Cricetulus griseus: one gene and its partner. The protein of the gene in region 2 purifies or fractionates together with the protein of the main gene of each other region. This does not show direct contact. Links are inferred from orthologs where the notes say so. Each region holds a gene or a part of one and is shown on either strand. Other genes may lie near its edges.

Region 1 (4,282 bases), on a different chromosome or scaffold from region 2:
TGAATCAATGAACTTTTGAGACTTACACTAAATCTATTTTTAAGTAGCCTATGAAAAGGGGTAAGCGATAGGGAGGAGAAAGAAGAATGGACAATATAAATGGCCTCAAGAATTCAGTTTCCAAGCCAGGCAGTGGTGGTGCATGCCTTCAGTCCCAGCACTTGGGAGGCTCTGTAAGTGCAAGGCTAGCCTGGTCTACAAAGCAAGTTCCAGGAAAGTCAGGACTACACACAGAGGGCCACAGCTACAGACAGAGAAACCCTGTCTCAAAAAGCCAAAAATTAATAATAATAATAGTAGTAGTACTAGTAATAAATAAGTAATTCATCACAGAAATTTTAAAGCTGCAACCAACACAAAATTATCCAAGATCTAGTCTATGCTTATAGAAATGGAAAACAGCAATGTAAAGTTAGCAATGATAGCCTAAGTAACCAGAGTTTAGATTTCCCCATGCATAACTGGTAAGTATGAGTGTAAACTCTACACTCAGCAACAAAAGGCAAAAAACGTGAATGCCAACATAAACTGTTCACTAATGTCAACCTAATCCATTTTCCTCCACATTAAAGACCAAGTGGCTATCTTCAGATCTACATATTTAAATCCCATAATCCCCTTCCATTCTTCCACCAAGACACTGAACTACTCAGACATGAAAAGGAGTGACTGAGGCTGGAGTAGTTCCCTCTCCTGTCATGCTACTGAGCAGAAAGGAAAGCAGACTTGCTCACACGTTCACACAAAGCAAGTTTTCCTGTTTCTGTTTTTGAGGCAAATGAACATTTCCAGGTGATTATATGAATTATCATTCAAATTATGATGAGTCATCATTTTACTTGTGATTAAATTACAAAAAATTTATATTAAACTTGTATGTATATATCTATGTATATAGATACACACACTTTATATATATATATAAAACCAAGAGCAAGTATAAATTTATGTTTATGACAAGGTAGCAATTTTCAACTATTAAGTAGCAGATCTAATATTTTAGTCTACATCTTTAAGAAAACAAAAAAAGAAAGAAAAAAGTAGATGCATTCAAGGATAAATTTCAAACAGAATTCCATAGTGCATTAGAGGCTAAGTGAACTAGATCTGCACAATAATATAAACTTCTAAACGTCATATGTGCTCTCATTTCGAAGTTTTGTTATAATACCTCATTTATTAAATACAATTATAACAAGTAAATTTTATAAATCCATACTATAAAATAAGTACAAAATAAAATTTCATGTGTAAGCTTTTAATATGTTGGATATGTTGGGGCCTTCCCTAAGAATTTAAGAATTTGCAAAAATCTAATTATTTGCTGTTTTAAAAGTTGCTTTTAGAACCAGACTTGGTAGTACTTGCCTATAATTCTGGGAGGCTGAAGCAAGAGGATTGCAAAGTCAAGGCCAGATCTGTTTTTAAAAAAGTAAAAACAGAGAAGGAGGGGTAAAAAGAGTAAAACCTTACAAAAATGGAAAATAAAAGCTCTATACAGAATGTTCAGAACTGTTCTCTATTGTATTAGTCAAGAATATGTTTAAAATATTCTATTGACACAATTACAGGAGTATAATGTACCATTCAGAAAACAATTCAGTAATTACTATAACTGAAGCACCGCTTAAAATGTAACTGTTCTCCCCAAATTATGTGATTAAATTCCATTCCCTCTTTTGGGAATCCATGGCAGCATGTATGCATGTGATCCCAGTCCTGGAGAGACAGAGGCTGGAGGTAAGGGGCCCAAGGCAACCTAGGCTACTCAGCAAACTAGAGCCAACACTGGACCACACTGAGATCATGTCTAAAGAAAGAAAAAGGAAGGAAGAAAAATTTATTCTCCCAACTTGCTAGGTAACCATGAAACTGTATACTCTACTAGTTCAGCAAATATTTCTGTTTTACAATGCTAAAAAACCTTTAAATTTATAATCCCTTTGAATGTTAAGTTTTAAATATACATAATAATGTCACTTAGTTAATTAAAACAGTATTTATTCCAGCTCTCTAGTTATCAGTCTACATTAGATTTTAAAAATAAAAAGGTCTGAGGTCTATATGTAAAATTATTCTAAAATTTAAAATCTGGATTCAAATGTCAATTCAAACAAAAAATAAAGAAAAAGTGAGATATTATAAATATATATTAATTATAAAATAAAAAGCAGTACATGAGAAAGCACTGAAGCATATAATAAAAAATAAAAAAGACACTATTTTTCTGATTTATATAGCAAATTAGTACTTTTTACAAAGCTACCAAATAATAACTCATTTTAAAAAGCAGAAACTCCTCTTTCCAAAGAAGGCTAATTTATAATTTCTTTTAAAAAATGCTCAATTAATACATTGTTTGAATTTCTACAAATATCTAATGAATTAACTATCCAATACACAAGGAGTAATAAGTCACTCGAGTTTGAAAAGCACTACTGTGGTGATCAAATGTTCTGGCAATGACAACAAAATGGTGAGAAATCACAGGAATTTAACCTTTGACCTCACCATCCTAATATACTGTTTCTCTAATATAGGTTTACTGCTCTTAGAAAACGTTGCAACTTCTTCACAGGCAAATTCTCTTTCCTATACAAAGCTGGTTATGTTCAAATGTTTTCTAATTGTAATGTTTAAAGATAAAAGCTTACTGGTTCTTACCTCAGATCCTGATGCATGTGACAAGTCTCTTCACTGGCAGATCTGCTGCCTAAGCAGCCTCAGAGATTGGGTTAGCAGCCATTTTGAGACAGCTGCACAGTCTCAGTTGCACAAAAGTGTAATTAAGATGGCTGCAACGTGCACTCAAGAACTCACACAGTGAAAACTCAGCCATGTATCAAAGAAAGCCCCGCCCACTTTGTCAGCCTGCAGGAAACTGAACACAGATAGCTAATGCATATACTGCAACAAACAATGCAGCTACTTAGCACACAGAAAAAGAAAACGGAAGGCAACAAGCCAGTTTTACAACAAAATGCCTGTGAATCCGGACTTGCAACAGACTTTGGGCACATTCCGATCCCAAACAACTTGAAATCCATGCCACATTTTAGCAGTTACAGAGATAGAGCCAGATCACACAGAGCAAACACTAGGGAATTCGCCTGAAAGAAAGCCTCCATTTCAGTCCAGAAAAAAAGGGGAGGAAAAAAGTCAAACCCCTCAAACCCAGCTCAAGACCCTTTTTTTTTTTTTTTACTTTTTCTTCTTTACCTTTAATAGAATACATCCATCAAAAGAAGAGTGTCAAATTTGTTTAAATCTTATATTCATTAGATCAAGTTAATTTTAATCTTAAAAAGCTAATTAAAAATTTCCCCACAGAATCTAATCTTCAGAAGTGCTCAATCCAAGTTTACAACCACATTTTCTAATTTTAACAATAAAGTCTAAGGTGGCAACAAAGCTTAATTTAGTAATTTCTCATAAAATCAAACATTTCTTCTCTTTGTGGTCCAGATGTGACAGACACACTCTCAGGTGGCACAGGAAAAAGTCAGGGAGGATGCAGACTCTCTGGGAAGGAAAAGTAGGGAGGACAAAAGGGTCCAGGCCAGTCTGGAAGAGGGACCGACACTTAGCCAAATCTGAGAACACTGCCAGCAAAACAGGCCTGGCACAGACACAGGCGGGCGGGCGCAGAACAGGCGAAAGGGAGGCAACACAAAGGACCTCTTCTGCTTCCTTTGCCATCAGCTATGGAGCCCAGTTTCTTCCATCTTCTTTGGTATTCAGTCCTCAAGTTTAATTACCCTGTGTCATGTCTATCGAAATGTTGGCATTTCTTACAACTTTTTAAAAGAGGTGGCAAAAACCAACTAAAAGACGATCATTGTCTCATTTTATGTACATATTTGAAACATTCCATAAAATGTGTCTAATACTTGGCCTTGAAAGAGGCCTTTATTCACTTTTCCATGAGATGGACTGGATAATATCTTTGAAAACTGCCATATGTGCAGGAAACAAGACACATGACACGTGATCCAAGCCGTATCGGATCACAGTCTGGGGACCAGGCTTGGGCCTTGAGCATGCTAAGGAAGCCTCCCGCCACACCGCTCCTGCATAAAACAACCCCCGTTGTTTTATCAGGGTTTCATCATTGTAACGAAACCCTGAGTTCTCTGTATACTCAAGCTGCCCTCAAACTTGGAACCCTCCTGCATCCACCCCTTGAATGCTAGGATTTGGGGTGTTTGTGCCACCACACCTAGCCAAACCATAGTAGCTCTTAGAACTATGGCTGAGGGCAGCTTTGTCGATTCAGTAAAAG
Region 2 (4,358 bases):
TGGCACGACGCTCCAGGAGGCCAGAGGATCTAGAGTTTCTTTGTGTTAGAGGCCTACCTGTCTTTTCTGTACCCGGTCATGGCTGCTAAAGCAGGGAGCTGAGTGAGGGTCTGGTCCCTTTATTTTTAAATTATTAGAAGCCTTTTAGTTTAGTTTACCCCTTTCAGTTTTAAATAGTGGCTTAATTTATACAGGAAGGATGGCACATGCCTTCACCTTTAATTTCAGGGGCAAAGGCAGGGGGATCTCTATGAGTTCCAGGCCGTCAGTCTACATAGTGAATTCCAAGGCAGCCAGAGTCATGTAAAGAGACACTACATCCAAGGGGGAAAAAAAAAAAGGAAAATACATAAGCTGGACAATGGTGATGTATGCCTTTACTCCTAGTACTCAAGAGGCAGAAGCAGGAGGATCTTTCCGAGTGATCCTCTGCTGAGGCCAACCTGAACTACAGAAAGAGTTCCAGGACAGCCAAAGACACATAGAGAAACTTTCCCTCAAAACCAAAAACCAAAACAAGTAAGTAGTTGCAACAGTTTTCAACTAGTTTATCAACAATCCAAAATTCACCTGAGTGCAATACTAACATCATCTACTTGGTTGACTGAAGTTGCTGTGGCAATCTGATTGGAATTTGTTAATGTTTCACAGTTAAAGACAGCAAGTTGAGAGGTTGACGATTTAGCTCAACTGGCAGAATGATTGCTTAACCCTTGGTGCAATCCCAAACACAACCCGTAACTCGGGCATGCTGGCCCACACCTATAATCCCAACACTGCGGATGTAAAAGAGCAACATCAGGAGGGTGGAGATCATGACCAAGCAAATTCAAGGCTACACTCTGCTAGTGGTGAGACCCTAAAAAACCAACCAAACCAAAGCTGGGGTGCTGTAACTGCAGCACTCACTCTGGAGATCTCCGCAAGTTTCAGGCCAGCTAAAGTTACACATTGAGATTCTGTCTCACAACAAAATGAAAAACAGAGCTGGGTGGTAGTGCTAAGTGCCTTTCATTCCAAGCACTCAGGGGACAGAGACAGGCAGATCTCTGTGAGTTCGAAGCCAGCCTGATCTTACTGTTACACAGACAAACCCTATCTTAAAACAGCCCCCACCACACCCCCACGTTGGGGGGGAAAAAAAAGAAACCAAACCAAAGAAAGAAAGGGAAAAAAAAGAAAACATCAACTCTACTATCTTCACTTCCTGGTCATCTTAAGAAAGAAGGAGGAAGACAAAGGAATTCAAACCTTTAACCTCCATACTGCTGACCGTGTACCAGCTGCCTCACACTCGGATGAAAAGTGTATGCTGCAACTCTGCACTGTAAACCCTGAGGAAGGCAGGGCTGTGATGACACACCTTTAGTCCCAGCCCTAGGGAGGCAGAGGTGGGCGGATCTATGGTGAGTTCGAGGCCAGCCTGATCTACAGAGCTACACAGAGAAAGCCTGTCTCAAAAAAACAAAAACAACAACAACAACAACAAAAACCCAAGGAAGCGTTAGGCCCTACATGGCTGAACTCTGCTATGAACAATCACCCTAACAAGCATGCAAACGGACGGTACTTTTGCTCCCATGAATCCTTACCTGGATGCATCATCAAGGAGCTGGTCAACATAAGCCACCTCAGACTCCTTCTGCAGCACCCACGTCTCCAACTCTGCTAGCTGCTTCTTGCGCTGCTGTATACAGTCCATCTTTTCCAGCTCTTCATCAATGAACTGGCGAAGTTCCTCCATAGAGATACCCAGCTCTTCAACCACTGCCTGCTGCAGCTCAGTCATGTCTTCAGAGTCAGGGGCAGCTGTTGCTGCATCCAAACTAACGCACCCAGGGAGGGAGGACATGCTTTTGCCCTGTGCAGAACAAGGAACCACGATGACTCTGACATCAAAAAGCCGGCAATTTCAGCCTCACCATAAAACGCACTCCTATCCTGCAAGCTCTTGTTCACAGTCTGTTCTCTCTCCTCCTTCACCAGAATGCGACCCGGAGATTTTTCTGGGGAAGCTCACCTTCTCACACAGACCCACGGGCCTAAGGAAGAGCTTGGAGGGCTTGCAGAACACCGGTCTGCAGTAGAGAGCTGCCCAAAACAATGATTCGCAAAACTGAAGCGTGCTTGTCTACAAAGGAAGGTATTTCTGTGAGCTAACGTGCTCCCTGTTTATCAAGGAGACGAATCCGTCTCTGCGCTGTGTCTAAGCTGAAGTACCACGTCCACCTGGACACAGCTGGGCCGTAACTAACTACTTCCATCTTGGGTTTTGACACCTTTTCTCCCGTTACGTTACTTTGCTTCCCCGTGGGAAGTAACTCCTACGACCAGGCAGGGGGTTGCTGCACAGGGGAAGGGGTCCTCGGCTGCACCCGGCCCGGAGTCTGCGTCCAGCAGGAGGGAAGGAAAGGAGGAAACACGAGGTCTTTGCTACCTGCACAGAGCACAGCTTGCAGCAGAGGCCACACAACCTCTACACTCGAATCACGCGCTCGGGGCTCGGCCACCAAGGGAAGGAGCGCAGCGGCTCCCGGGCCTCCCGGGCGCCCGGCCTCACGCCCACCCGCTGCCGCCCCGCCTCCGCCCCCGCCGCGGCCTCGGCCCCGCCGCCCCGCTCGGCCCCGCCCCCGCCCGGCTCCGCTCTCCGCCAGGTGTCTACACACAGCTGCCGCCTCCCACGAGAAAACCACGGGGTCCCCGCCTCAGCCTACCTCAGCCAGCCCTCCTCACCACTGCGGCTCCCAACCACGAGGACCCCAGATTCCGACTCCAGGGCTCGGCCTCGCCCACAAACACAGAAACCCACGAGAGAGCGAGAGAGCGGGGGTGGGGAAGGCGCGTGAGGGATCAAGAGGGAAAAGCAAAAGGCCCGGAAGCAAAATCGAGCGTCCTTCCGGCCCGCTCAACGGTAGCCCGAAAGGGTCAAATTTACTCCCCAGCGCGGCGGGATAAGGACTGTGGGAACCTAAGAAGTTTACGCATGCGTCAAGTAGCGCATTTCCGGAAAAGAAACTGTTTGGGCAACGCCGGCTGGCTCAGGAATGTTTTACGGAAGCTCCTCCCCAACTAGCGGCCGAAAATAGTTTTGAAAATATTTTTTAGTCATAAAGCTGTCATTTTTAGCAAAGTTAATGCGTGTTCATTTCAGGAAGTATGAAAAATACAAATAGACAAAAAATCAAAATTCCACCACTGAGATTTGCGCGGTCTTTGGTCCTTTACGACTTTAACGTTTATGTGTGTGATATACAAATGGACTCTTGTCGGGGGCGCACGCTTTCAATCCCAGCACTCGGAAGGCAGAGGCAGGCGGATCTCTGTGAGTTCGAGGCCAGCCTGGTCTCCAGAGCGAGTGCCAGGACAGCCTCCAAAGGTCTCGAAAAAACATAAACAAAAAAGCCAATGGGACTCTTGTTTTATTTTTCTCGTTTTAAATTTTATTTTGTGTGTTAATTATTTTGTCTGCATGTATTTTTCTCATTGTCCTTATGCGTGTTTCATCTGCTTCTCTCGACATAGTGTCATTGCTGAAATGTCTGTGTGTCCTCTTTAAGTTCCTGAAGATATTGAATCAGCCTTTCCTTAAAAGTTGCTTTTGTCTCTTTTGATTTTTTTTTTTCTCCTCTTGTGGTACCTCCTCTGGTTTTACTCAGAGCTTTGGCTCTATCTCAGGGTTTGGTTCAAATATCTCCAGATTTCTACCCCCCACCCCCACCCCCATTTTTGGTGGGGTTTCATCTTGTGTTTCGCTTGCTTTGTTTCTCGATTCTTTCTGCCTATTCATCTTTGAATGCAAGCACTTCCAGCACAGATCTGACCAGGAAACCCCACCCCCTTTTAGGCCCAGGGAATGGTAAGAACAGTTGTATAGATAAACTGCCAAATTCATATAAACTGTTCTCTCCTTCCACTGCCCTCACATAGCCCTGCTTGGAAGGCCAAAGGAAGCTGATATGCAGATAGAAACAAGAGCTTAGTGGTAGTGGTTTTTTACATAGGGTCTTAGTATGTAATCTTGTTTGGCCTGGAACTTGCTATGAGGACAAGACAAAAATCTACCTACTTCCGTTTTTTTTCTCAGCCACCATGACCTTTGAGATATCTATATAAAATTTATTTATCTGGAAACGGTTTTACCCAAATTCTGAACCTCCAAATCACCAAGAGACCTATTCCAACGCATAGCAAAGAGTCTTTTATTATTTAATGAGTTAACTGTATTAACATGGGTCTTCCATCCCTCCACCATGGCGGGCACGAGTGAGGACAGGGAACCTCCAGGCGTCTCAGGATTGGTGCACTTCTGAGCTTGGCCAACCTGTCCTGTGTTGATTGGTCAACTGGTTGCTATGGCG

The links.
Region 1: the proteins of Setdb1 (region 2) and Atf7ip purify together in Homo sapiens (affinity purification with mass spectrometry; 6 studies listed by BioGRID and IntAct, counting the BioPlex papers as one, with this or other methods). This does not show direct contact. The link is inferred for Cricetulus griseus from reciprocal best matches to the Homo sapiens genes SETDB1 and ATF7IP.

What each region holds. Positions count from the first base shown.
Region 1 is NC_048601.1:12,458,604-12,462,885, forward strand, and holds the start of Atf7ip (activating transcription factor 7-interacting protein 1), read right to left. Parts: upstream 2,970-4,282; 5' UTR 2,682-2,969; coding exon 2,665-2,681; intron 1-2,664. UniProt on the Homo sapiens protein: Recruiter that couples transcriptional factors to general transcription apparatus and thereby modulates transcription regulation and chromatin formation. Can both act as an activator or a repressor depending on the context.
Region 2 is NW_023276806.1:61,136,780-61,141,137, reverse strand, and holds the start of Setdb1 (histone-lysine N-methyltransferase SETDB1), read right to left. Parts: upstream 2,880-4,358; 5' UTR 2,715-2,879; intron 2,563-2,714; exon of another isoform or gene 2,438-2,562; intron 2,132-2,437; 5' UTR 2,021-2,131; intron 1,862-2,020; 5' UTR 1,853-1,861; coding exon 1,593-1,852; intron 1-1,592. UniProt on the Homo sapiens protein: Histone methyltransferase that specifically trimethylates 'Lys-9' of histone H3. H3 'Lys-9' trimethylation represents a specific tag for epigenetic transcriptional repression by recruiting HP1 (CBX1, CBX3 and/or CBX5) proteins to methylated histones.